3 linked regions of the Lepisosteus oculatus genome follow. The protein of the gene in region 1 interacts with the protein of each later gene in a pairwise test. Links are inferred from orthologs where the notes say so. Each region holds a gene or a part of one and is shown on either strand. Other genes may lie near its edges. The genes, in order: shc1, shcbp1 and insrb.

Region 1 (7,348 bases):
GGTCAGTGCAGACAGAGGCCTGTCTGTCTCGATGATTAAGCTGTGGCAGTCATGCACTGTCTCCGTTATGCTCAGTGCGGACAGAGGCCTGTCCCAGCCTGCTTGCTGAGATAAACCGACATGTTCTGCCTGTGAGCCTGCTATGCATTATGTGTTCAGAGCAGGCAGAAGCCTGTGTCTCTCAGAGATCGGGCTGGTGTAGGTCGGGCCTGTCTCTCTCAGTGAGCACAGGCTGGCGTAGGGCTGGCCCGTCTCTCTCAGTGAGCACAGGCTGGCGTAGGGCTGGCCCGTCTCTCTCAGTGAGCACAGGCTGGTGTAGGGCTGGCCCGTCTCCCTCAGTGAGCACAGTCACTCTCTGCAGGGCAATTCCACACATACCTCCCCCTTGCCTGGACATGCCTGATGACAGGCACTGCTCAAGCACATGTGACTTTCTCTTTAGTTTTCCTTGTGTTCTTCTGTGTACCTGTCGGTCTACGTGAGTCAACAGAGTAGAGTCTGATCTGCCCGTTTTCAGTGCTGGAAATTTTCAGCAGCCCCTGAACACACCTGCAGGCTCTGTTTGTCCCTCAGCCTCTCGCCTGTCCCAGTGAGAGATCTGTTTGTCCCTCAGCCTCTCGCCTGTCCCAGGGAGAGATATACCGTCCCTCAGCTTGTTCCTTTTTTTCTATTTTGGAGAAATCTGATCCCGGCCACAGGGATTGTGATGGCCCAGAGGTCACCTGTCCATCGCAGTTACCGTGGACAGCGGTGTCCAGTCCTGGTTCCTGGATGGGGCTGGTGCGTCTGTGGGCTCTTCTCGGTCCCTCTAACGCGGTATCGCCTGAGGCTGTTGAACTGGTCTCATTAGGCCAGCGAGGGGCTGATGGGGCTGGTTCAGAGCGGGGCTGGGAGAAGACCCTCCAGCACCGCGATGGGAGACGCCGGGTCTGCAGCGCTCGGCTTCTCCGTCTTGCTGGATTCGCGTGGCCGCCTCCCCCCCCCCCCCCCCCCGGACCCAGCCAGTCGCCGATCAACCGGGACGGGGCGCGGCGCGGTGTCCCGGTCTGACGGCGCTGTGGTTGTTTTTGGTGGCCGCAGGTCTCGGCTGCCAGGGCCTGGGGACGGCGCGGCCGGATGGACTATGTGGTAAGAGCTCTGGTGCACCTGGTGGAGGTCGGGCACGGGCTGAAGGTGGAGGGGTGCTGTCCGCTGTGGGGGTGGTGGAGCCCGTCGTCTCTCTGAGCTCTTCTGTCCCTCTGTTCACTTACGCCAGGGGTCTCGGGCTCGGCTCCTGGAGGGCTGGATCTCTGCTCCCGCCAGGGGGGGCCAGTTAGAGATCTGGGGTCGCAGCTGATCTCTCAAAACGTTCGCTTCCTTAAGGGCACAGTCACCTGTGGAGCGTCTCGGGACTAACAATTATTCGACTAATAGCTGGAACAGCAGCCAGGAGACCCTGGACCTCCAGGATCTGGGTTTGAGACCCGGCGATTACCCAGGGCCGTGCCGTGTTGAGACGGATGGCACAACCCAAAGCACAACGGGGAGCAGGCACCAACACAGCAGTGTATAGCTGTAGCCCAGGGCTCCTTCAAGTCCACTCCGGCTGGGTTTGTAGGTCCTCTTAGGTCGTCCACAGCTGCTGATTTCTTTAAGTGGGTGGGAGGGGGGAGCAGTTAAATGGGATGGATTAGGCCTTAAGAAGGCTCATTTAGACCACTCTGCGTGCTGGTGGTCAGTTGCTGTTGTCTTGTGGCCGACAGCCTGGCGTGGTGGTCTGAGGCTCTGGACACCTGGCCGTAGGGTCAAGTCGGCTGTCGTTCCCTCAAGCAAAGGTCCAGCACCCAGAAGTGGCTCTCGATTTATCTCTCTACAGACGTCATTGCCATTCTGTGTGAAAGCATCTGAAGAACGAGCCATCTTATTTTGAGGATTTAGGAGGCATTTTGGACTGTTGCCCTTAAGGAGTGAATTGGGGATTCCTTGGAGAGCTGTCTGTTGTCATGGGGTTACCGGCTCCAGAGACCTTGGAATGGCAGCCGTTAATTTAGTGAAATGTGGCCATAAGGGTATATTATATGTTGACAAGTGACAGGTTCCTCTTTCACATACAGGCCCGTGGATGACGTTGACTTCCACGTGGATGGGAATGAGCTTCATTAATTCGGTAGTCCAGTACTATTCAACCTGCGGCCCCTCCAGTCCGCTCCATCTCCATTTCACAGCTTAGCTGCTGCCAGCCCCTCGGTTATGCAGGATCGATATCGGAATGAAAGAGCCGGTTATGTCGAAGTCGTGGAGCGGAGCGAATTGGAGGGTTAGGTAGCCCTGGCCAAGTCGTTGTCGTTGTAGAAAAATGTCCTGTGTGGAAAATAATTGTTATTCATCTACTCCGATGGAAGCAAAGAGACCAGGCCCTCCAGGAACTGAGCCCTATTGTAAATGCTAGTTTGCAGAGAAAATTAATTCTCTTTTCTCTTGAACTAAACTTCTCCTGCACTACTTCATCTGCCTCAGGTGAGGGATTTTGTGAATCGGCAGTACTACGCACTCCTGTACTATGTTAGTATAGTCATTCCCAGCTCCTCGGTTTTTAGTTTGATTCCTTTGCGCACATTTATGCTTTATGTCCCTGGCTTCTCCGTAGAACATACCAAAGCAGTGTGTGCTTGTCTGCTCCTAACATTGCGTACTAACACTCCTGCTGCTGCTCCTACTGCACCTTGTACTAATCAGAACAGCAATCAGGGTGCGGAAAATGTGATTTGGAATATGTTCACCCCTTGAGAAATGCCTGATTGCAGCTGGTTTCCAAGCACTTCAGCAGCCGCTGAATGATTCAGAACTGAATCCAGCTTCTGAAAGGCTCCCTGTCCCGTGTGCGTCGCTGCGCAGGGCCTGACGTGGGCGAGCACGGATGCCTGAAAGTGTCGTGACCCCTCATTAACAAGGCAGGAAGTTCCTCCTCCCCACCCTGGCCCCCATAAATTGAGGGGTCTCCAAACCCCAGCAGGGCACCTTGAATCTTCTGTTTTTTTTTTTTTTTACAGCTTCTCAAGCTATAAAAACAGCTTTTTTATTTAGACTTCCCAAGTTATTCTTCAGTTAAGCAAGAAATGTGTTCAGCTAAGGAAGCTGGGTGTAAGGGTCTTCAAATTTGAGCTACAAAGGGTCCCTAGATCACTTAGCACAGCACCTGCTGAACTGATCGCCACTGAAACTCTCCGGGGCTGCAGAAGTGGGTGGCGTAGTTATTTATAAACCCTACTGGACGGGAGCTGTCCGTGGCCAGGGCTGGAGACCCCTGCTGCAGACGATCAGGACCCTGACCGGACAGACTCCCGATAGGAGTGCAAGCCGAGTTTCCGAGGATCATGTCCGTGGAGCAGCGAGGGGCAGAAACCCGTCAGGAAGGAGGACTTTGGACTCGGGAGAGAAGGAGGGGCGCTTGGTCTGTGTCTCGCTGGCACTCCCTGTCTAGGGCCAGCCCGTCGTCTGCCTGATTTCCTTTGCTCTCTGCCCCGCACTTCGCCCATTGCTGTATATACGATACCCCCCCCCTCTCTCTCAGTGCAGTGTTAATGTACTGGAGTGTCCAGTCAGTCAGTGTGTCTGTATGAACCCCTCTCTCTCAGTGCAGTGTTAATGTACTGGAGTGTCCAGTCAGTGTGTCTGTATGAACCCCTCTCTCAGTGCAGTGTTAATGTACTGGAGTGTCCAGTCAGTCAGTGTGTCAGTATGAACCCCTCTCTCTCAGTGCAGTGTTCATGTACTGGAGTGTCCAGTCAGTGTGTCTGTATGAACCCCTCTCTCAGTGCAGTGTTAATGTACTGGAGTGTCCAGTCAGTCAGTGTGTCAGTATGAACCCCTCTCTCTCAGTGCAGTGTTCATGTACTGGAGTGTCCAGTCAGTGTGTCTGTATTAACCCCTCTCTCTCTCAGTGCAGTGTTCATGTACTGGAGTGTCCAGTCAGTCAGTGTGTCTGTATGAACCCCTCTCTCTCTCAGTGCAGTGTTAATGTACTGGAGTGTCCAGTCAGTGTGTCTGTATGAACCCCTCTCTCTCAGTGCAGTGTTAATGTACTGGAGTGTCCAGTCAGTGTGTCTGTATGAACCCCTCTCTCTCTCAGTGCAGTGTTAATGTACTGGAGTGTCCAGTCAGTGTGTCTGTATGAACCCCTCTCTCTCAGTGCAGTGTTAATGTACTGGAGTGTCCAGTCAGTGTGTCTGTATGAACCCCTCTCTCTCAGTGCAGTGTTCATGTACTGGAGTGTCCAGTCAGTGTGTCTGTATGAACCCCTCTCTCTCAGTGCAGTGTTAATGTACTGGAGTGTCCAGTCAGTGTGTCTGTATTAACCCCTCTCTCTCAGTGCAGTGTTAATGTACTGGAGTGTCCAGTCAGTCAGTGTGTCTGTATGAACCCCTCTCTCTCAGTGCAGTGTTAATGTACTGGAGTGTCCAGTCAGTGTGTCTGTATGAACCCCTCTCTCTCAGTGCAGTGTTAATGTACTGGAGTGTCCAGTCAGTCAGTGTGTCTGTATGAACCCCTCTCTCTCAGTGCAGTGTTAATGTACTGGAGTGTCCAGTCAGTGTGTCTGTATGAACCCCTCTCTCTCAGTGCAGTGTTAATGTACTGGAGTGTCCAGTCAGTGTGTGTGTATTAACCCCTCTGTCTCAGTGCAGTGTTAATGTACTGGAGTGTCCAGTCAGTCAGTGTGTCTGTATTAACCCCTCTCTCACTCTCTGCCAGGCAGGAGTGGGCAGTCATTTTATGTGCATTAGACCCTCTCAGGGCTCTCGAACGGCTCGCTGTTAATGTAGGAAGTGCTGTGTGCAGCTGGTCAGCCAGTCAATGTCTGTTTATTACCCCTCCCATCTGGGACAGAGTGGAAGTGTAGTCAGGTTACAGGGGAGGAGTGGATGGCGATGGGGGTGGGGCGAGCTCGCTGTGTTTCCCTGTCTCTTTTCAAACACGTGCTCCCTCCCTCCCTCCTTCCTGTGTGTGTCTGTGCACGCCTGTGCTTTCAAGACGGGCAGCGGGGAGAGAGAGAGAGGGAGCGTCTGTGTCCCTGTGTGTGTGTGCGCGTGCCTCTCCGAGAGGACACGCCTCCAGGACGGCGAGGAGGAGACCGAGGGGGAGAGACCTGCTCCTCACCGGAGACAGAAGGACTCGTTTCTATAAGGAGCAGTTTCCATCTCCGTGCCCGGCTCGCGTTTGCTGTTTGCTCGTCTCCTTTTTTTTTCCCACCTCCGTTGACGGCTTTGTGCTCTGCCAGCATCGATCTGGCCGGCTGAGCCTGGCTGTGCTGAAGAGAAGAGGGGGTGGGGGTGCATTGGGGGGGGGGAGGCCCCAAAAACCAGGGAGCAGGGGGGAAAAACTGCATATAGACGCCCGGGGAAATCGAGGGCCCGGTGATGTAGCATCAAGAGCTGGAGCCGGGTGGAAAAGAGGAGGTGGAAGGTTTGTCCGGCTGCCCTGTTATCCGTTCTGACTTCAGGAAGAGGATAAAAGGAATAAAGGGGGAAGGAGTTCGGAAGTGCGGGAAAAGGAATCTTGCCTTGTGTCTCCTCCGCCTGTTTTTCCTCACGGCCGGCTTCCAGGAGGAAGCCCGCTTTGGAAGCAACTCCAGGAGTTTTCACGGGAGCTCACGTTTTCCTGGACGGAAGGGGAGGATACTGGGATTTGCTCCCTGTCCGCACCTGCCAGCGGACGAGAAGGAGAGAAGACGGAAGAAAGGGGAATAAAAGAAAAACCGTGGATTGCCAGTCGGAATTTGAAAGGAAAATTTAATCTGCAGCTAAACTGAGAATCTCCCATCTGCTTGAGCAGGCCAGGGGGTGAAAACTGTGAGAGAGCTGCACTCCATCAGCGTGCTGGGAATTTTGCAAAGTTTTTTTTGGTAGCAATGGTGTTGAAGGAGTTGTTGGATGTAGTATCCATAATGTTCATTGTGATTGAGCATTATGGATCCTTAATGTTGTGAATCTGTGATTGCTGTTCTACTAGCTGTTATTTCCCGATTAACATTACTGGGATTTGTGGGAATGGCTTCTCCTCTGCTCCTAGGGGTTTGAATCCCACTGTTTGTTTCGTGTCCGCAGCTGTCCTGTTCTGGAAAATCCGGAAGGAGCTGGTTTTTAATGGCACAGGCCCGGCCGCATATCCTGACAGTGATCAGCCGTGTCATTAATATTAATTAGCTGTAATGTTGCCTGTTGTAAAAAGGCGCAGCGGTGTGGAGCCCATGTCTGCCTATGGATCTGCCACTGTTGGCCTGGAAGTAGCCAGGTTGTGCTGACCGGCTCTAGGTGTTCCGGCTGTAACCTGACCCTCACGGTCGCAGTAGAGAGGCTGTAGGCCCCTCTCTCTCTCGCTGCGAATGCACGGGTAGGTTGTGCCGTTCCTAAAACGGGACCCCTCGAGAGCCGCTCCGGCGTGCTGGCGAGTTGGACTGCCGTCGGGTAGCCCTGTACGGTGCTGGATTGCATGGTGACGCCCCACGCGGGTCTCTCTGGAGAGTGACAGGGGCGCAGACCCACAAGGGCAAGAGCGTTCGACGGTACCATCCGCTGGCCAAGGAAAGCTGTCCGCGGTGACGGCATGGGGTTATATAGCGCCTTGCAGCGCTAAAGCACTTCCCTAACAAGCCAGCTCCCCTGTGAGCTGTCGAAATTTCTGTTTTCAGTAGTGTCCCTGCCCTGCGTTGGTCCTGCCCTCCTGATAACATTGAATTGCGGCTTGTTCCCCTCTCGTCTCGGATCTTGCAGTTCTCTGACTGGCGTTTGCTGGAAGGACCTTTTTTTCCTGCTCCAGGGGAGGTGAAAACATTTCTTGTGAACTCCGGTGTGTCGAAATGGCCATCGCTGACTCACAGTGAAGCCCACCTTCTTAGGCATTTGCGCTGAGTCATGGCAGGCTGTCGCTCATATCGGGATTGCTAGTGTCTGATCATATTCCCAGATGAGTCAATACCTCTCCTATTACTTCAGGTGGTTTGTTTTGTTTCTCCACACTCGCTACTGCAAGTCACACCAAAACTTTTCTGACAAAAGGCAAATTTCCAAACTGGGAACGTTCTCAACAGAGGGGAATGTGAGTTTCAGTACAGGGGAAGTTCATAAAAACTCCCTTCTTGGCACGAATCTGAGCTCCACCTGATAAAAAAAAAAATGCTGTGATAATACAGTTATAATAAAGAAAGTTCACGTACTCAGTCAAAGTTATTTTCTACAACTATTCTCTCTGTGTGCTCCTGAAACGTACAACATTAAATTTTCTGTGCATAGGTGTCTGATACATGACGGAGGTTCAGAATATTGTAGATATCGGGGTCACCTTTGCTCAAGAGTAAAGGCAGCAAGCTGTCTCG
Region 2 (7,789 bases), on another chromosome or scaffold:
CATGGAAATTCACAAGGCTTTCATTAACTTTCACTTTTCCAAGAACCACATTCATCATTCTCCACTTCAAACCTCTGTACAGAACAACAAAGTCAGGACTGTCTGGATTTTCTCCAGCTAAGTAAAACAAGTTCTAAATATGCATAAATAATTTACCTTAAGTGCTCTAAAGCAAGTGCTGTTTGATCGAATTCCCCTGATTCATCAAACACAACACTGAGTTCCTGCAAAGGCACTTGATGTTCTTTTGCCTCCAGCAGGTCCCTCATGGACTCCTCTGTGAGCTCACAGCCTTTTCTCTCACACAGGAGAGGCTGAACCAGCTCCACCCTGGCTTTCAGACTGGAACACTCCACATCCACCACCTGCAATGACAGTTAGAAAGGACTTCTGAGTCACCAATCTCAGAATTAAATTAAAAAGCTTTTAGCAACATTGCATAACACCTCCCAATTGTTCCCCGGACTTTTTTAAAATATAAAGCTAACTGAATGCATAAAAAGATCTAAAAACAGAACAAACCAGTGCACTGATTTAAGAAAAGCATCTTGTGACAAGGAAGGCATGATTAAAGTAAAAATGAAATTATAAAATGAAAATCAAGATAAGGTTGAGTGATTTTTTTGGGAATGGGAGAAACATTACCATTTTCTTCTTTTAGAAAAAGCATTACTGATCTCATGAAACCATAGATCTGTAGCACATTCCAAACAACTATTTTTGAATTGCACTCCAATCGTGAGTGGCAAACAATGCAGCTAAGTGTATCAAAAACAAGACAAATTAGAATTACCTTACTTTAACTGCAAGTAAATTTAGTTGTGCCCCAAATGGTCAATAGTATTGAAAGATTCTAACCCTTCTAAGAGACACCTAAAATGCCTGAATTTGTTTTCCTGTCAGTGCTTTGTACAAGATGTTACAAGAGTTGACTTTCAGTTCTATTGCCTCAAGCTCTCTGTACTTTTGCAATAAACAAAGGTGAAGAAGGTGCCCACGATGGTGCATTCAGACATACCTCAACCAGTACATCAAACACTTCTGTGCTCCACACAGCACGCCAGCCACAGGGCTCCAGAACCTTCTCCAAGTAGTCTGCAGTAAAATCTCTAACTTCTGAGGTTTTACAGTCACCTTCAGGGAAACCAAAACACACATTGTTAGGACTCATTTCTGCAATCTGTCTATCCATTATCAGACATCCAAGTATTACTGGTGAGGGTCACAGCAAACCAGAACATCCTGTAAGCACAAGACAGGGCTACATCCCACACAGCACCACAGTGCATCACGGGACACATATGCGCAAGTATGTGGAGCAATTTACAAATGCCAATTCAGCATGCCTTTGGAAGACCGGAGGAAACTCCTTTGAAACAAAGAACCGTCAGCACACCACTCCAGAACCAAATATCTGTGAAAACGCAGCAACACTGTGTGCCATATCACTGTGCCACACAACTCTGTATTCATAAAGATTAAATATTTTTAAACCAATGTGAGTATCTGCTGACCAAAACTGTGCCGTTTTGACCTTTAAGAACAAAGAGACCTTTTCATGGTTTTCATAAAGGATGGATTGTAAGCAATCCTGAAATAAAGTATCAACATCTGTCAGTGCATCCCTCAATTTTATGAAAAGGTTTCTGAAGAAATATGCATAGTACCTTACACTTATATAGCATTTATCTGGCCACTCCACTCAAAGAGCTTTACAGATAGTGGGGACTCCCCTCCACCACCACCAATGTGTAGCACCCATCCAGATGATGCGACAGCAGCCAAAGTGCACACAATATACTCAACCCACATCAGCTCTCAGTGGGGAGAACAGAGTAATGAAGCCAATTCTTAGATGGGGATTAGGAGGCCATGATTGGTAAAGACCAAAGGGAAATTTGGAACAATAGTGCAAAGTGAGAACAGTCAATATAGAAAGCAATTACCTAGCATGTAATCTTGATAAGCTTTAAACCTCTCATAAAACAGAAGCTGGTTAGTCTGGAAGATGTCAGGGAAAGCAACATTTCCTGTGCATTCTGCCCTCTGTAAAACTGTGCCTGGCTTGTCACTGCTGCCATAATCACTACAACTGTCATCATCTTCCTCGGTATCTTCATCTTCATCATTTTCCTGAAAAAGAACTAAGAAAACACAAAACAATCAAACTTAATACTTGAAAGATTTAAGGGAATCTTTTGGTTAAACAGCGTCAAGTTAACATCACTTTGTCGTATTTGAATGCCCACTATGTAATTCAGAGTTTTTATCTAGACCAAATTAACGGTGCTTCTCCCTTCAATCAAAACAAGGAGGTTCACCAAAAAACTCTAAACAAAGGGAGATCTGTTTCTGGACAAATCCTCAAGTTTGAAAGTTTAACTTAGACCGACAGTAATACACAAAATTGCTTTTAAGCTCGTTGCTAACAACGAAAGATATTCAAATACAGAGCTGAAAAAAAATCGGAATTTGATTGCATTAGTAACTGCAATAGCTTCGGTAATACCTCTTTACCTGTTTAAATATGATCGATTTTAACTTTGGAATGTTGCAATTACTACTAAGGTAACCTCAGCGAAAAACAGGAGACGCTCCTCTCACTCTATAAATTATCTTAGGCTGTACATTTTATATCTGAACAACAAACAACGGCCTACCTTGCTTTATATACAGAATTTCACCAGGCATCTGATCGATTCCAGCAGGTTCCATTTCAACTTCTGTTTCCAAATCGATCTTTTCTTGTATTTCATTTTGTATTAGAGACGTAGCCGCTCCCTCGTCACATTTTGCTACAGGCTTAATTTGCAACTCTGGAATGCCAGCGTTTGTTTCAGCCTGCATTGTACTTGCAGAGGCGATATCTTCAGCCATTGTACTTGTTAAGGTTAAAGCGAGTCTAAGTTACTTTTAAAAAGTGTGCAACCGTCTAACAAACTTTAGTGAAAGAAACCATTAAAACACATCCTATACTTTGCTCCTCCTGCAAACAAATTCAAAATTCCCCCGGTTAAGAGAAGACTGACCAATGAGAAAACAACATGAAAACGCAATTTCCTTTTCTGGTTAGGCTCATGACGTCATTGACTAAAAAACAAAACAAGAGCACGGCTCTAAAGAGCCAAAATGGCGTACAAGAACTGCAGTTACACAGGACTGTAATACATTACAAACAGGAGATGAGGTGTTAACAGAATTATTATAGCAGGCAAAAGCGAATTACTAATGAATGACTAAAAATTAATAAGTATTAATTCGATCTAATAAATTAATTAATATAACTTATGTCAACAACATAAAAGTTAAATATATTTATGAACCCGTATTTGAAATAAAACATTATATATTTAACTGTATTCAACAAAAATGTTTTATGTGTTGTGGTTGGATATATGTAATTCATGCATAAGTCTTTTTTACCTTTAATTCTGCACTAACAGAAGCAACTTTATTTATATGAACCATGCAGGGGCAGTGCTATTAAAATATCCCCCCCCCCCCCCCCCTCAAAAAAAAATAAATAAAAAAAATACAAGGGAAATGGTCAAACCAAATTATCAGTATTCTGTCAGGTCAGTAATTGTGAACTGCTGCATGAGAGCTATCTATATCATATTGAAATCTCCACATTTCATTTAGTGCTAAAGGGCTGCTGTCACAGATGTCGGAAGGGATGAACCGTGGAGAGGCGGGAGAACAGAAAAAGACCCATATGCGTAGCAGCGGAATGGGAGATTACCCCAGGCTCAGCAGTTCAGGAGTCGTATAGAAACCAATGCCCTCAGGCAGCGGATGTGGGGCCACCTGGATGCTAGGCGGGTCTCAGGACATCCGAACATCAATGCTGAGCGAAGGTGAATGAGAAACCCGGAAATATATAGCCCAAGAAAGAGAGACACCGGAAGGACAGCAAAGCATAGGAAACTAGGGACAGAACAGAGTAGGAGCGCCCTCTGGCTGCAGAGGGCGTGACAGCTGCAGATGTAAAAGTATTGGCTTTTGGGTTATGGCAGTTCAATAAACTCAAGATTTTTCCATTACTTCTGACACTGAGAGGCTGTAGTGGAGGGTATTGTTGCCTTTAAGTGTATCTTGATCTTTAATAATCTTTCATGCAGACTGTAGTTGAAAAATCAATGCAAAACACATTTTTCTAAAGAAACCTTTCAGTCAAGGAAAGAAGATTCATAATGAACCCATCAGTAGAAACCCTGAGGACGCCCTTCTTCATGTTCACACGTGAGTTACATTACTGCTGCTGCAGGGGAAGAGCTGAACTTGTGTTTTTTTTCTAGCCATGCTCCAAAGGTAGAAGGCAGCTGCTGAGAGATGCCTGAAGATGAATGGTGTTGCTGGCGCTTTTCAGAAAAAGCTTTTCTGGAGAAGAAACCTGGAGCTGTACAATTTTGTGGCCTCAACACAACCAAAAACAGTTGTGCCACATGATACATAAGAACATAAGCAAGAGGAGGCAATTCTGCTCATCTAGTGTGTTACAAGAATTTCAAGTGGATGGCAGAATAAAAAAAAAGAAAAGAGACACAACACAGAGCAATCATTGTGGAACCTTCTTCAGGTGCATCACTTCTTTCCCTTTCAGCATGGGATAAACCTTTATCTGTTCCTTTGTTACACAGATGTCATAGAGCTGTTTTTTTGGAAGGAAGCCAAGATATCGGCTTCAACAAGATAACAGGTAGCTTATTTGATAACACCACAACCTTTTGTGTGGAGCACTGCCTCCTATTGTCTGTTTTAAATGCACTCTCACATATTTTCCACTTGTCGTCTCTGGGTAGTGTTGGAATATTGTTGATTTAGATTTGACATAGACTTTGGCGAAGACCTTGAAGATTTTGAATACTTGTATCAGGTCCATTCGTAATCGTCTCTGTTCAGAACTTAAAATGTTCAGATATTCAGCTTTAACTGCACAGAGGATAGCAGAAATACTGTAGCTGTTTTACTTCTCCAATCCATTTTACTTCTATCAGTTTAGAATGTCAGCAAGAACATTCTTTTTACTGGTGGTGGAGCTGTAGTAGGACAAATAAACTTATCTATTGAATTAAGTTTAATTTAATATAGGACCTCCAAAAAGCAATCATTGGTCTGATATTACCAATGTAAAATCATTTGTAATATCAATTTGAATTCCTAGCCAATTTTGTAACATGAATAATAATCCTAACCCTTGAAACTAACTTTTAAAACAAAACAAAACAAAAGTCATCCTCGCTCCTGCCTAATCTTTATTTCTATCCCACAAAACCTAGTTTAATGGAAAACTAAATATAACTGTAATATAACAAAAACCCGAACACACGCCAAAGTGTTAAACTTTATACTGATCCTTATTCAGCTCTATCCCCAGTCCCTTCCCAACTAGCCAAGCTCTTACTTCCAGCCTACTGTAGTTCTAGGCTTATCCTAAATATTAACCCAAAAGGAAGCTGATACAAGAACCAGTGTGATGACAGAAAGTACCACAATAAATCTATAAAATTATTTTCCGTGGCTAAATAAATGATTCATGTGCTTATTATGGGTGAATTTCATTCAGTGTAACAACTCAGTCTGCACACTGTCATTTCAGAGATGTTTTGATTGCAATTAGGAATCAGTAATTTATTAATCAGCATGAAGCGGACCCCACAGACTTTGCAACATTTTACTTCTAATTTGATTGTCTGAAGCAGCAGAGTGGAACTATTCTGGATGTGTGGCAATGGGTCTTCATATAGCCACCCAAGAACAGAACGATGCATTTTTGAGCCATTCCCAGAGACAGCAGAGTGGCAGCTTTGTATCCTCTGGTCCAAAGAATCCTCTGTTAAAAACTATTGGAAATGGTCCCTGCTGAACTTCTCTCATTTCTCAGGCAGATGGCAATAGAGAGACGTTTTTAAAACCAGCAAACAGTAAAAACACAATTTTACCATATAAGATCAACGTTAATAAAAGATTATGCTAATCTGTATGAAGATTATTTTTACAATGCTAACAACGTTAACAAGTGTTATATTTTTGCAGATTGCTGTAACAATACCGGATAAGCAGCCTGAAAAACAATATGAAAGGCAATTTATAAAATAGGACATTATTGATTTTGTCAGCTTTAGTGTGATGTAAAAATTACAATGAAATAGTAATAAAAGTAGTAGTAAGAACAATATTTGCTAATTATTTTGCTCATAAGCAGAACAGCTGAGTGGCAGATATTTATATTACTGCTTTACAGCTCTTGGCTGCTGAGTTGGATTCCTGACTCATTACTTTTACTAGAGTTTGCATGTTCTCTCAATTTCCTCTCACCTTCTAAGGGTATGCTGACTAGGCTCTAGGTGGCCAACTCTGGTACTGAAGAGCCACAATCCAGCAGGTCTACAGAACAGATTGACAGGTATTAATTTAAATATTGCAATATTTCATTAACATTAAAATATTTGAAGTATAATAAATGACTTAAATTAGAAAAATATAAATTCTTTAAAAATAGAAACATGTGGCTAGGGTGGCAAGTGGCACAGTGGTTAGCATTGGTACCTTGCAGTGCTGGGGCCCTTGGTTAAATTTCTAGGGTGTTTTCTGAATGGAGTTTGTCTAATGGAAACCTATGTTTTTAATACGTTTTGTCTAGGTACTCTGGTTTCCTTCCACAGTCTATAGGGTAAATTAACTGGCGTTCCATCCAGGGTGTACCCTGGCTTGTGCCTATTGCTTAAAGGATAGGTTCCAACTCCACTGCGATACTGTGTTATGTAAAGGGGCTTTAGAAAATGGATGAATGGATGAAAATGGGTCTAAAAAGGTTTTTGGAATAAACTACAGTACTTTGTGAATTTATCTCAGTAAGTTTTGACCTCGCAAAAAGCATGCTCATCATTGTCACACCTTTCACATACATTTCAGCCTTGTGATGGGATTTGGCGTTAACACACACCATTAGAAATTCCCCTCCACAGTGTCCATTTGAAGACTAGGTCAATCCTTTTATCCACAATATTGGCTGCATGTTAGTCCGGAGACTCAGAAAAAGCATCAGAGAGCCAGCAGGTGTCCTGCACAATGGTTTTGTGGAATGACACTTGTAACACAGGAAGAAGACAGCTGCAGGGAGTGAGTCACAGAATACCACTCCCACTGCACTACTGATCAGGCTCATGTCATCCTATTTTAACAGATTTCTAGCCAAGGATGAATTTTACTTCAACAACAACAACAACAAAAGGAGTACAATAAAGAAAAGTAATAATAATAATAATAATAATAATAATAATAATAATAATAATAATTATTATTATTATTATTATTATCATTATTATTATTATTATTATTATAATGTCTGATTTTAAAATCTGACATTTGTGGCTGATGGCAGAGTTCTGTCTATTTACGTTTGTTCTGTCTTTCTGTCTCATTCAGTTGTTAACACGACAATTCAATAATGCCTGTATATCAACAGAACAACTAGCGTCCTGTCCAGGGAGTATCCCGCCTTGCACCCATTGCTTGCCAGGATAGGCTCCAGCTCCCCCATGACCCTTTATTGGATAAAGGGGTTAAATATTGAGAGAAAGATTGGATAAAGTCTTATTTTGTGTCTTTCAGTGATTTAAAACTTTAGTAATATATTTTGACTTTTAGACTGGTAATTCTTTGCCAATCTTTAGCAGGTGATGACAGCCCAATTAGGTGTCAGTAGCAATAAAGGAAACCTGACCATAATGTATTCTAGTGCCCAATGTAGCCATAGCAACCACAATGTTCAAAGCCATTCTGCCTT
Region 3 (7,992 bases), on another chromosome or scaffold:
CTGGTTTCTATTCTAACAACGCTCGTTTTGAGTGATAATCTTGACACAATATCGATTAATGATGCACAAACATGAAAACATCTCCAGACACGTATACTTCTATTATTGCCAATTTGGAACACGGGGTAGTAATCGATCTTTAGTTCAAAGTTTTTATTATAAAGTTATCTTTAGGGTTGGCTGCTTTGCCGACTCCTCTTTTAAAAGCTGGTTATTTTTAAACGAGAACCAGACACCTGTTAATTTTTTCTCCCCTCAATACTTGTTGAATCATTTAATGAAACGTTTTAAAAAGACTTTTGCATTCACCTGAAGTTGCACAAAAGCTGACTTTTACTCTCTATGGTTTTAAAATAAATCCAGCTTCAATAAAAACGTTGGGGGAAATTCATTTGCTGTGATTTTTTTGTATACATTTTCATCCGTTCACATCTAGATAGGATGGGTACTTCACACGACGGAAAAGTCAGCATTAGTCTTCCACTGTTTTTGGGTTGTGACCGACAGAACAGTATAGGTTATGAAATCGGTGTGTACAAGATTTTGTTTTTCTGTTTGAACAGCGGAACATAATGTCGTGATGTTCTAGGCTACCAAAATCTTTAAGTATCCTATTTGTGCGTGCATGCATTTATCAAGATATTTATCTAGAATCGCTTACTGCATACATCGACCTCTTGCTTTGCATATCAAATAAGTCGGAAAAGCAGATGAAAATTTAGTGTAGAAACTGTCATGACCCACACCAACTGCCCAGAGATACACTAAGCCCCCGCACAGAGTACTTTGTGTCAAAGTGCAGTGTATCAGCAGGGTGTCGGGAGTGGATGAAATGCATAAACAAAATGAACGCGGTTCTTCAAAACTTAGTGTGTGCGTGTGAGCTAATTATTTTATGACGGTAATCTTCGGTCAAATCTGTGCCTTATATAGACTTATATGGCTTATACCCTGACCAACAGGGGAAAAGGGTTAAGATTACCAACTGAAAATGGTGGTCTCTTTTACATTTTCTGCGCAGTTTTCTATATAATATACATTAAAATGCCATAATAAAAACACGACAAACTATTTGCTTTCCTACAATGCTCAGAAAAAAAAATAAGCACGCACCACATCTTGTGTATGCCCGGGTCACATGTAATCCTACAAAACACTGGACTTCTGAATCTCATTTGTTGCATTATTAGTTCAACGTGAACACAGGCCTAGGCGGACAGACGAGTCCCGGACCTTTAAGTTTAGAATCGCTGTCTATATCCCACCCTCTTCCCGCGACAAAGGCTAATCTAGCCTTCGGGCTCATGTATGCGCAAGCAGGCCTCAAAATATAATCGTATAATAATAATTCTCTAAAAAAAATATTTAAAAACTAAAAATGTTACAAAAAAAAACACTTAAAATTTGACTTATTCCGCCGTAAGAAAATGGTATTGGGAAATGTTCTCCCACCAAAAACCGCGTTTTAAAACGTTACGTAAATACTCAAATTAGGTGTAAACAATATATACATTTTGCATTTCTTACAATCTGAGCAGTTCCACAAAACACGAGGCCTATAAAAAACCCTCTAACGATTTAACTGATTTATGATATAAATAGCACATTTGTACACTGTCGCAGCGAAAGAGTTCCAACGCCATCCTTAAATGGAAAATAAAGCTTTGATTTACTTACTTTCTCCATCCGATATCCCGCAATTGCTTAAAACGCAGATAAAAGTAACGAAAGCAACCACCGGGGTGTCCAACCGCATTCTGACCCCAGTGATGTCCTTAAATCCACCAAAAAATGCCAGATTAAAAGGGGAAAAAATCCAAAAATTGAGTAAAACTTTTTCCTTTAATCGTTTATAAAATCAGAGATTCTTGCTTGAAAGCCGTTTTCATACACAACAAAAACAAAAAAACAAAAAAACAAAACCACACCACCCCCAAAAAGGGGGGTGAGGGAATATTTAAACGCGTTTTAATACTCAAAATATGTATTAACTTTTTTTGTTGTTTTACTACTTCGCCAGGTTAGATTTGCATCAAATAATGTGGTCTTGGGTTCTGACAGCACTTTGGCGAACCCAGAGCTTCATTTTAAATCAAGTGATACAAGTCGTCCACTTTCATCGGGTAAAGTTTGTTTGACAAAATCCTCCTTCAGTCGAGAAAATAATTCCCACCAGCAAACCGCTTTAATAAGGAGGTACCCTAAGGGGTAGCGAGTCGCTCATACCCACATAAAAGCTGGGGTTTCCTTCAAAAGGTTAAAAAAAGAAAATTCCTGGATTAGCTGTTGCTTTTCTGCAAGATGCAACTGTTTATTTTGACTTGCAAATACAAAGATCTTCTTTTATTTTTCTGTCCTTTTATAAAGCGTGGTATTCTCCTCCTCTCGCACTGTTGACATGAAAATTAAAAAAAAACGTTTAGTTTTTAATCCCCGGTTTCACTGTGTTTTATACACGATTATTTCCTCCCGAACCTCCCTCTCCTTCCCTGCCCTTTCCGTATCACAGGAAAATAGTGTTACAACGTCCAATAGAAAAATAAACATCACAGGAACTCCGCAGGAAATAATCCGAAAAAAATTGCTTTTCCCTTTCGGTAAAAACGTCCTTCCTCGCTCAGCTTCCTTTTCAACTCTTTGGCGAGTTTCCCAAAGAGTCTTAAAAAAAAACACGTCCCAAACAATGGAAATGTATGATAGTTACTTAACAGTACAAATAAAAAAAAAAAACACAACGCACGGTGCTTCTGGAGTGTGCAAAACTCCCCGCACTGGTTTTTTTCTCTTCTTCTGCTTCTGCTTCTTCGTCTTCGTCTTTTTGGGCTAATCTGAGCCCGGACAGGTTATTTTACCTTTCGTGGTTTTTTTTTTTGGAAAGCAGGCTGTAGAAAAGATTTTCGGACGACGGCGAAAAGCGCGACAGCAAGGTAAACACGCGTCGACAGCAAGCGAATCTGCGGAAAAAAAAGCTAAAAAACTTCTCTTTTCCCCCCCGAATCTGCAGTACCGCTCGTCCTCTCTCTCTCTCCGCTAAAGTTCCCCCTTTTTCAGTCTCTCAGTATCTCCCTGCCAGTAAACAAGAGCTGCCAGTCAGCTGGCGCAAGGCACGGCGCAAACTACGGACTGGATTTGACAGCCTAAAAAAAAAATACGACCTGGAGTCAGCAGAAACGAGTGGGAGTTGGGGGGGGGGGGGGGGTGAGGGGGTGTATGTTTAGTATGTTCAGGGGGGTGGAACCGCCGGGGAATGACATCAGTGCATCAGTGCAACCTGAACGCATGCTGTTTCATTAGCATAACCCCCCGGTAATTGCTCGACTTTCGTGGTGTGTTGAACGGCTGCCCCACTTGAAAAACAAAACGGAAACGGACCCGTCTCATCTTTGGGCAGGATATTGGGTTCCAAACATCCTATACTCATTCTAGCGCCCAGTTTGCATAGATTTAGCAAAGGTAATTGGCCATACGCTAGATAGTTAGTTGTTGTTTCTTATTTCTGTGGCTGAAAGTAATATATATGTGTGTGTGTGTTGATTCTCTGCTTTAACACCTATAAAAGAACAAGCAATAGATCTATTCCATGCTGAAAAGGGAAGAGAGAAAACACAACGTTTCGGCTGTGAAGGCTTTGTAGGCGAAACGTTGTGTGCTCTCTCTTCTCTTTTCAGCATGGAATAAACCTATTACTGATTCCTTTGCAGACCACGCAAGCTGACGCAGCTCCCCACCTGAACTACTTCCAAACCTATATTTCGGTTGTCAGTCCCATAGTGCCAACACTAGTCTATGTGCTGCAACAGGAGTAAGGCAGCTCTGTTCTCGGGACTGAACTCCATATTGCTGGGCACACTCGGGTCAGCAGGAGAGGGGCTCAGACCTGCAGATGAAAACACACACAAAGTGAACACTAAATGAGATAGGCGAGGCACTGTTTTTTAGTGCTGTGAAAATCCAGCAAATGATCGTGTGAGAAAGGGTCTGTGATGCGATCTTTGTTTTAACGCTAATTAAGAAGTGCCCGATCACTGTCACAGATAGCGTGGTAGAAAAGGGGTGTGCTGGGATTATCAGATTGTTGTTGCCAGGGGTGTGATCTTCTGCCAGTGGTACAGAAATGCTTGTGAAGATGGTTCTACCTGTCACGCACTTCCTTGTTTAAAAGTAATTCATTTATAGTGGGCTGGGAGGTGGCACCTGATCTGCCTGTAAGTAACACCTTTGTCTGCTGGAAGGTTAACGTCACCAAACATCTAATTGTGTGTCTGTATTTAAATGGGCTGTTGAAATACAAATCGTTAATAGCAGTCCGTGTTCCACTGTAGATTTGCTTTTATTGACAAAATAAGATTTATATCAGTAAGGTTCCTTCTTTCTGTTGGTGGATAAATATGCAACTGGCCCCTGCAGCAAGCTGTTTTTGAGTTCTGCAAAACAAGAGCGCTTCCACAATATCTGTCCCGTGTGTTTCTCATATGTGAGAGAAGAACTTTCCTGAAATAAAGCAGGTCACTGCGTGTCTGCTTTTGCGATCTTTTGGCTGAGAGGTTGCTTGAATAAGAGGCTGCTTTCCTTAAATAACTTTTTTTGCTGTTTACATGGGAGCTTGGAAAGGGGCTGGTTGGAAATGAAACATTTTTCCATTCTCATTATCGCGAGCCTCAGCTCTCTGGACTGTTTGTCTCAGCTGCTCCAATTGGCACAAAATAAATCTTCACCTGCAATGGGCAACACCACAAAACAACCCAGACCTACTCTCCACAGCCTGCAGGCTATACGCATCACTATTTCCCTTTTAACAAATAGATATTTTTTAAACTCAGTTGTCTGTCTGCCCTTTGACAGTCATCAGGAGTTTTTAAGCAAGTGACAACTTCACAAAGAACTAATTCTAGCTTTTGAGAGTTGTTCCAAATTTTAGTAGGTTTTAATGGCATTTCAAACCAATAGGCACCTGCTGCTACTTTTAATACCAACAACAGGGGAGAATAAAACTCACATTGTGGGTATCAAGATAATGATGGTGACAGCAGCATTATTTTCTTGTAAGCTGATTGTTAGAAATATGCTGGCCAGTATTGGCATGAGAGACCTCTGATTAAAAAACAGGTTGCTGTTGTAAGTAGTACTGTAGGGGGCACTCTTTAAGCTGACATGGTGCAGTCCTACAGATGAAATGCTGAACAGGGGTGCTGACTACATGGTCATTAACAATCCCATGATGCCGTTCAAGTGAGTAGGGGTAATTACTGGGGGTGCTGGTATAGAAGGACAGTCCATTGCCACAGAACGGGGTCCTGCATAGCAGTGGTGGCAGAGGTGCAGGTCCCCAAAACTTAAAAGTCTTTTGGGGTGAAAAACACTATATAAATGTAAATTAGCAGTGCAGATGTTGAACCTTTGTTCTAACCATAGTTTTTACAGTATATGCATGCTAAGTGTGGTATCTTACTGAGCCTTTATTTTATTTTTTTTACTTTTCATGGAAATCTGAAGGGTGCTATTTTCTTTTTTTTTTGCATTCTACCAATCTGGAATTAGATTCCTGCTGCAGTCCTCTGTACAGCACCCGTTGGGGCTGTGATGTCGGGACACTCCTCTGAAACTCGCCCTTGTCAGAGACATTTGCCTTTTTGCACCTCGGCAGCCCCGACTCGAACCCGATGCGAACGGTCTGTTTCGGGAGGCCCCCCGAAATAGTGCCTCTGCTGTTTGAGCCACTTAGGAGTCCTGCTCTTTATTAACGCTGCTCACTCCGCGGCAGGGCTTGCCTTTTCTCATGTCCTTCCATATGATTCCAGTCTGGTTAAATGTCTGTTTGTCAGGATCCGAAAGAATGTTCTCACGCCTTGAGGCCATTAAACACGAGACATCCTTCAACCACTTCCGTTGGGAGCTAGTAACAATCCCCTGGGCACAGGTAACACTTGGCAGCAACACCCACTTCACACTGAGACCAACCTCACGTAATCACCCTAACCCTTTGTGTGCCAAGTGGTGATGAAATAACAAGGGAACATCTGCATTCTGATCCAGCCCGACAGCAGTTTGAGCAAGCATTTGTTTTTTGCTCCGTTTTAGAAGTGATTCAGACAAGACCAGCTAGTCTTCCTGGAGGGTAACGATCGATACACCTCCTGTACTGAACATCCCAGGGTAAGAATGCTGAGCGCAAGCTTTGAATTTGAGAGATACATTTACTAAACCACCACATCGCAACAACAGGGCTCACGTCTTTTCTCCTGTACAAGAGGCAAAAGGCATACAGTTGAAAAGGCATGTTTTAAAGATACGTGCATTGTGTCAGCTTAGAAGAATGATGGACAGTAGTGAAAACACCATTTACCCAGTTCCTGACATAACAGCAGATAATGGTAGACATTGTGTACAAGCTTATTGTCTTTAGTTACCTGCTCCTATAATCACTACAGTGCAATAACAGAATGCAGCTTTGTTTCTGTTTCAAAATAAACAGGAGTGTGCAATTATTCCTAAAGTCCGCTGTGCGTGTGCCATGGGTATCTGAAGGGCACCGCAACAATACCTGAAAGTCAAGGACAGGGTGGCTGTGAGCTCACCAGGAGGTTTCCCTCGTCATTGTGTCAGGGACGGCAGGAGCTTGATTCATCACGCCGCCTGTCAAAAGAGGACGTGCCACCGTCTCCGTTTAAAGCCTCCACGTTAGGACAAATAATGGAGAGTACACAATTTTCTTTCAAAGCGGGAAGGCTCAGTTCGCGAGTTGTATAATTATGACCCACAGATCGACGTGATAATTGGAGGCCACAGTCTTTTGACTTACATTATTTGCAGCTGTTTTTGGACATAACACTGATTTCCCAACCGTCTGTGATGATGATGATGATGATGATAATTATTATGAGTAATAATAATAATAATAATAATAATAATAATAATAATAATAATGTGATTTGTACTATTTTGAATTGAATAATGCCCGGGCTTTGTCTTCTGAAATTTTAAAAGATCTGACGTACTTTTTTGTGTTTAAACTTTCTTCTCCTGCATCTATAACCTCGCAGGGCAGTTTCCGCTGATGTGCCGACAGCTCCTGAAAGATCTGTGCAGATCCTTTTCACCTGGGAGTGCACAGCCAGGCCTCCGTGTTCCCCTTACCGCAGTAAGTCCCACCACCAAGAGGTGTCAGTACAAGACGCAGCACAGCAGGCGTGTGGAGTGGAAGAAGATAAATCATAGCAATTGAGCTGGGAATAACAGAATGGGGTTAAGTAAGGTTAGCTAAAAAAAGACAATTCTCGGCCTCAGAAATTATCGTGCTGACTTGGGGGCTGGGCAGCTATGAAGGGACACAGGCTGTCTCTGACAGACGGCATTCTTTCTCTCCTTCTTGTGCGGCCTTGTCTTGTGATCATGAGAGTTACAGCAGACAGGGGTCCAACTGCAGGGCCGGTATGTTGAAAGGAGAGAGGCTGTGGATGTGCACAACACAAAGCACTGTCCTCAGCCCCACTGCCTTTCTAAATCTGACCAGACGTGCATGGTGTGAGCTCACTGAGGGCACTGGGTCATTCATGGATGAGGAGCCACACGAGCAGCATAGGAGAGCCTTCACTGAATATACCTAGGCCCGAGTCATGATACTGCAAAGATCTATCATACCTGCTGGGGTAGGAATTTGGAAAGAATTGCTTGCTACTGGGAACAATTCAGCGCTAATATCCATCCCTTTTCTAAATGCTGCTTGCGATTCAGGGTTGCCGGGGAGGCGGAGCCTATCCTGGCAAGCAACAGGTGCAAACCAAGGTACAGCCTGGACAGGACACCGGGCCGTATGACAAACACACACACAAACAATCACAACAGGGCTCATTTCCGCAGAAGCCAATGAACTCACCAGCATGTTTCAGGACTGAGGGAGGAAACCAGAGCACCCAGAGGAGAAAACACAGGAAGAACATGCAGACTCCACACAGACAGCACCTCAGGTCTGGAATTGAACCCAGGGCCCCAGTG

What was found.
Region 2: the proteins of shc1 (region 1) and shcbp1 interact in a two-hybrid assay, tested with the Homo sapiens proteins (2 studies listed by BioGRID, with this or other methods). The link is inferred for Lepisosteus oculatus from reciprocal best matches to the Homo sapiens genes SHC1 and SHCBP1.
Region 3: the proteins of shc1 (region 1) and insrb interact in a two-hybrid assay, tested with the Homo sapiens proteins (2 studies listed by BioGRID and IntAct). The link is inferred for Lepisosteus oculatus from reciprocal best matches to the Homo sapiens genes SHC1 and INSR.

What each region holds. Positions count from the first base shown.
Region 1 is NC_090722.1:5,526,391-5,533,738, forward strand, and holds the start of shc1 (SHC-transforming protein 1), read left to right. Parts: upstream 1-4,246; 5' UTR 4,247-7,348. UniProt on the Homo sapiens protein: Signaling adapter that couples activated growth factor receptors to signaling pathways. Participates in a signaling cascade initiated by activated KIT and KITLG/SCF.
Region 2 is NC_090715.1:6,687,629-6,695,417, forward strand, and holds the start of shcbp1 (SHC SH2 domain-binding protein 1), read right to left. Parts: upstream 3,020-7,789; 5' UTR 2,878-3,019; coding exon 2,661-2,877; intron 2,145-2,660; coding exon 1,947-2,144; intron 1,135-1,946; coding exon 1,019-1,134; intron 366-1,018; coding exon 157-365; intron 1-156. UniProt on the Homo sapiens protein: May play a role in signaling pathways governing cellular proliferation, cell growth and differentiation. May be a component of a novel signaling pathway downstream of Shc. Acts as a positive regulator of FGF signaling in neural progenitor cells.
Region 3 is NC_090724.1:6,042,530-6,050,521, reverse strand, and holds the start of insrb (insulin receptor b), read right to left. Parts: upstream 3,062-7,992; 5' UTR 1,757-3,061; coding exon 1,678-1,756; intron 1-1,677. UniProt on the Homo sapiens protein: Receptor tyrosine kinase which mediates the pleiotropic actions of insulin.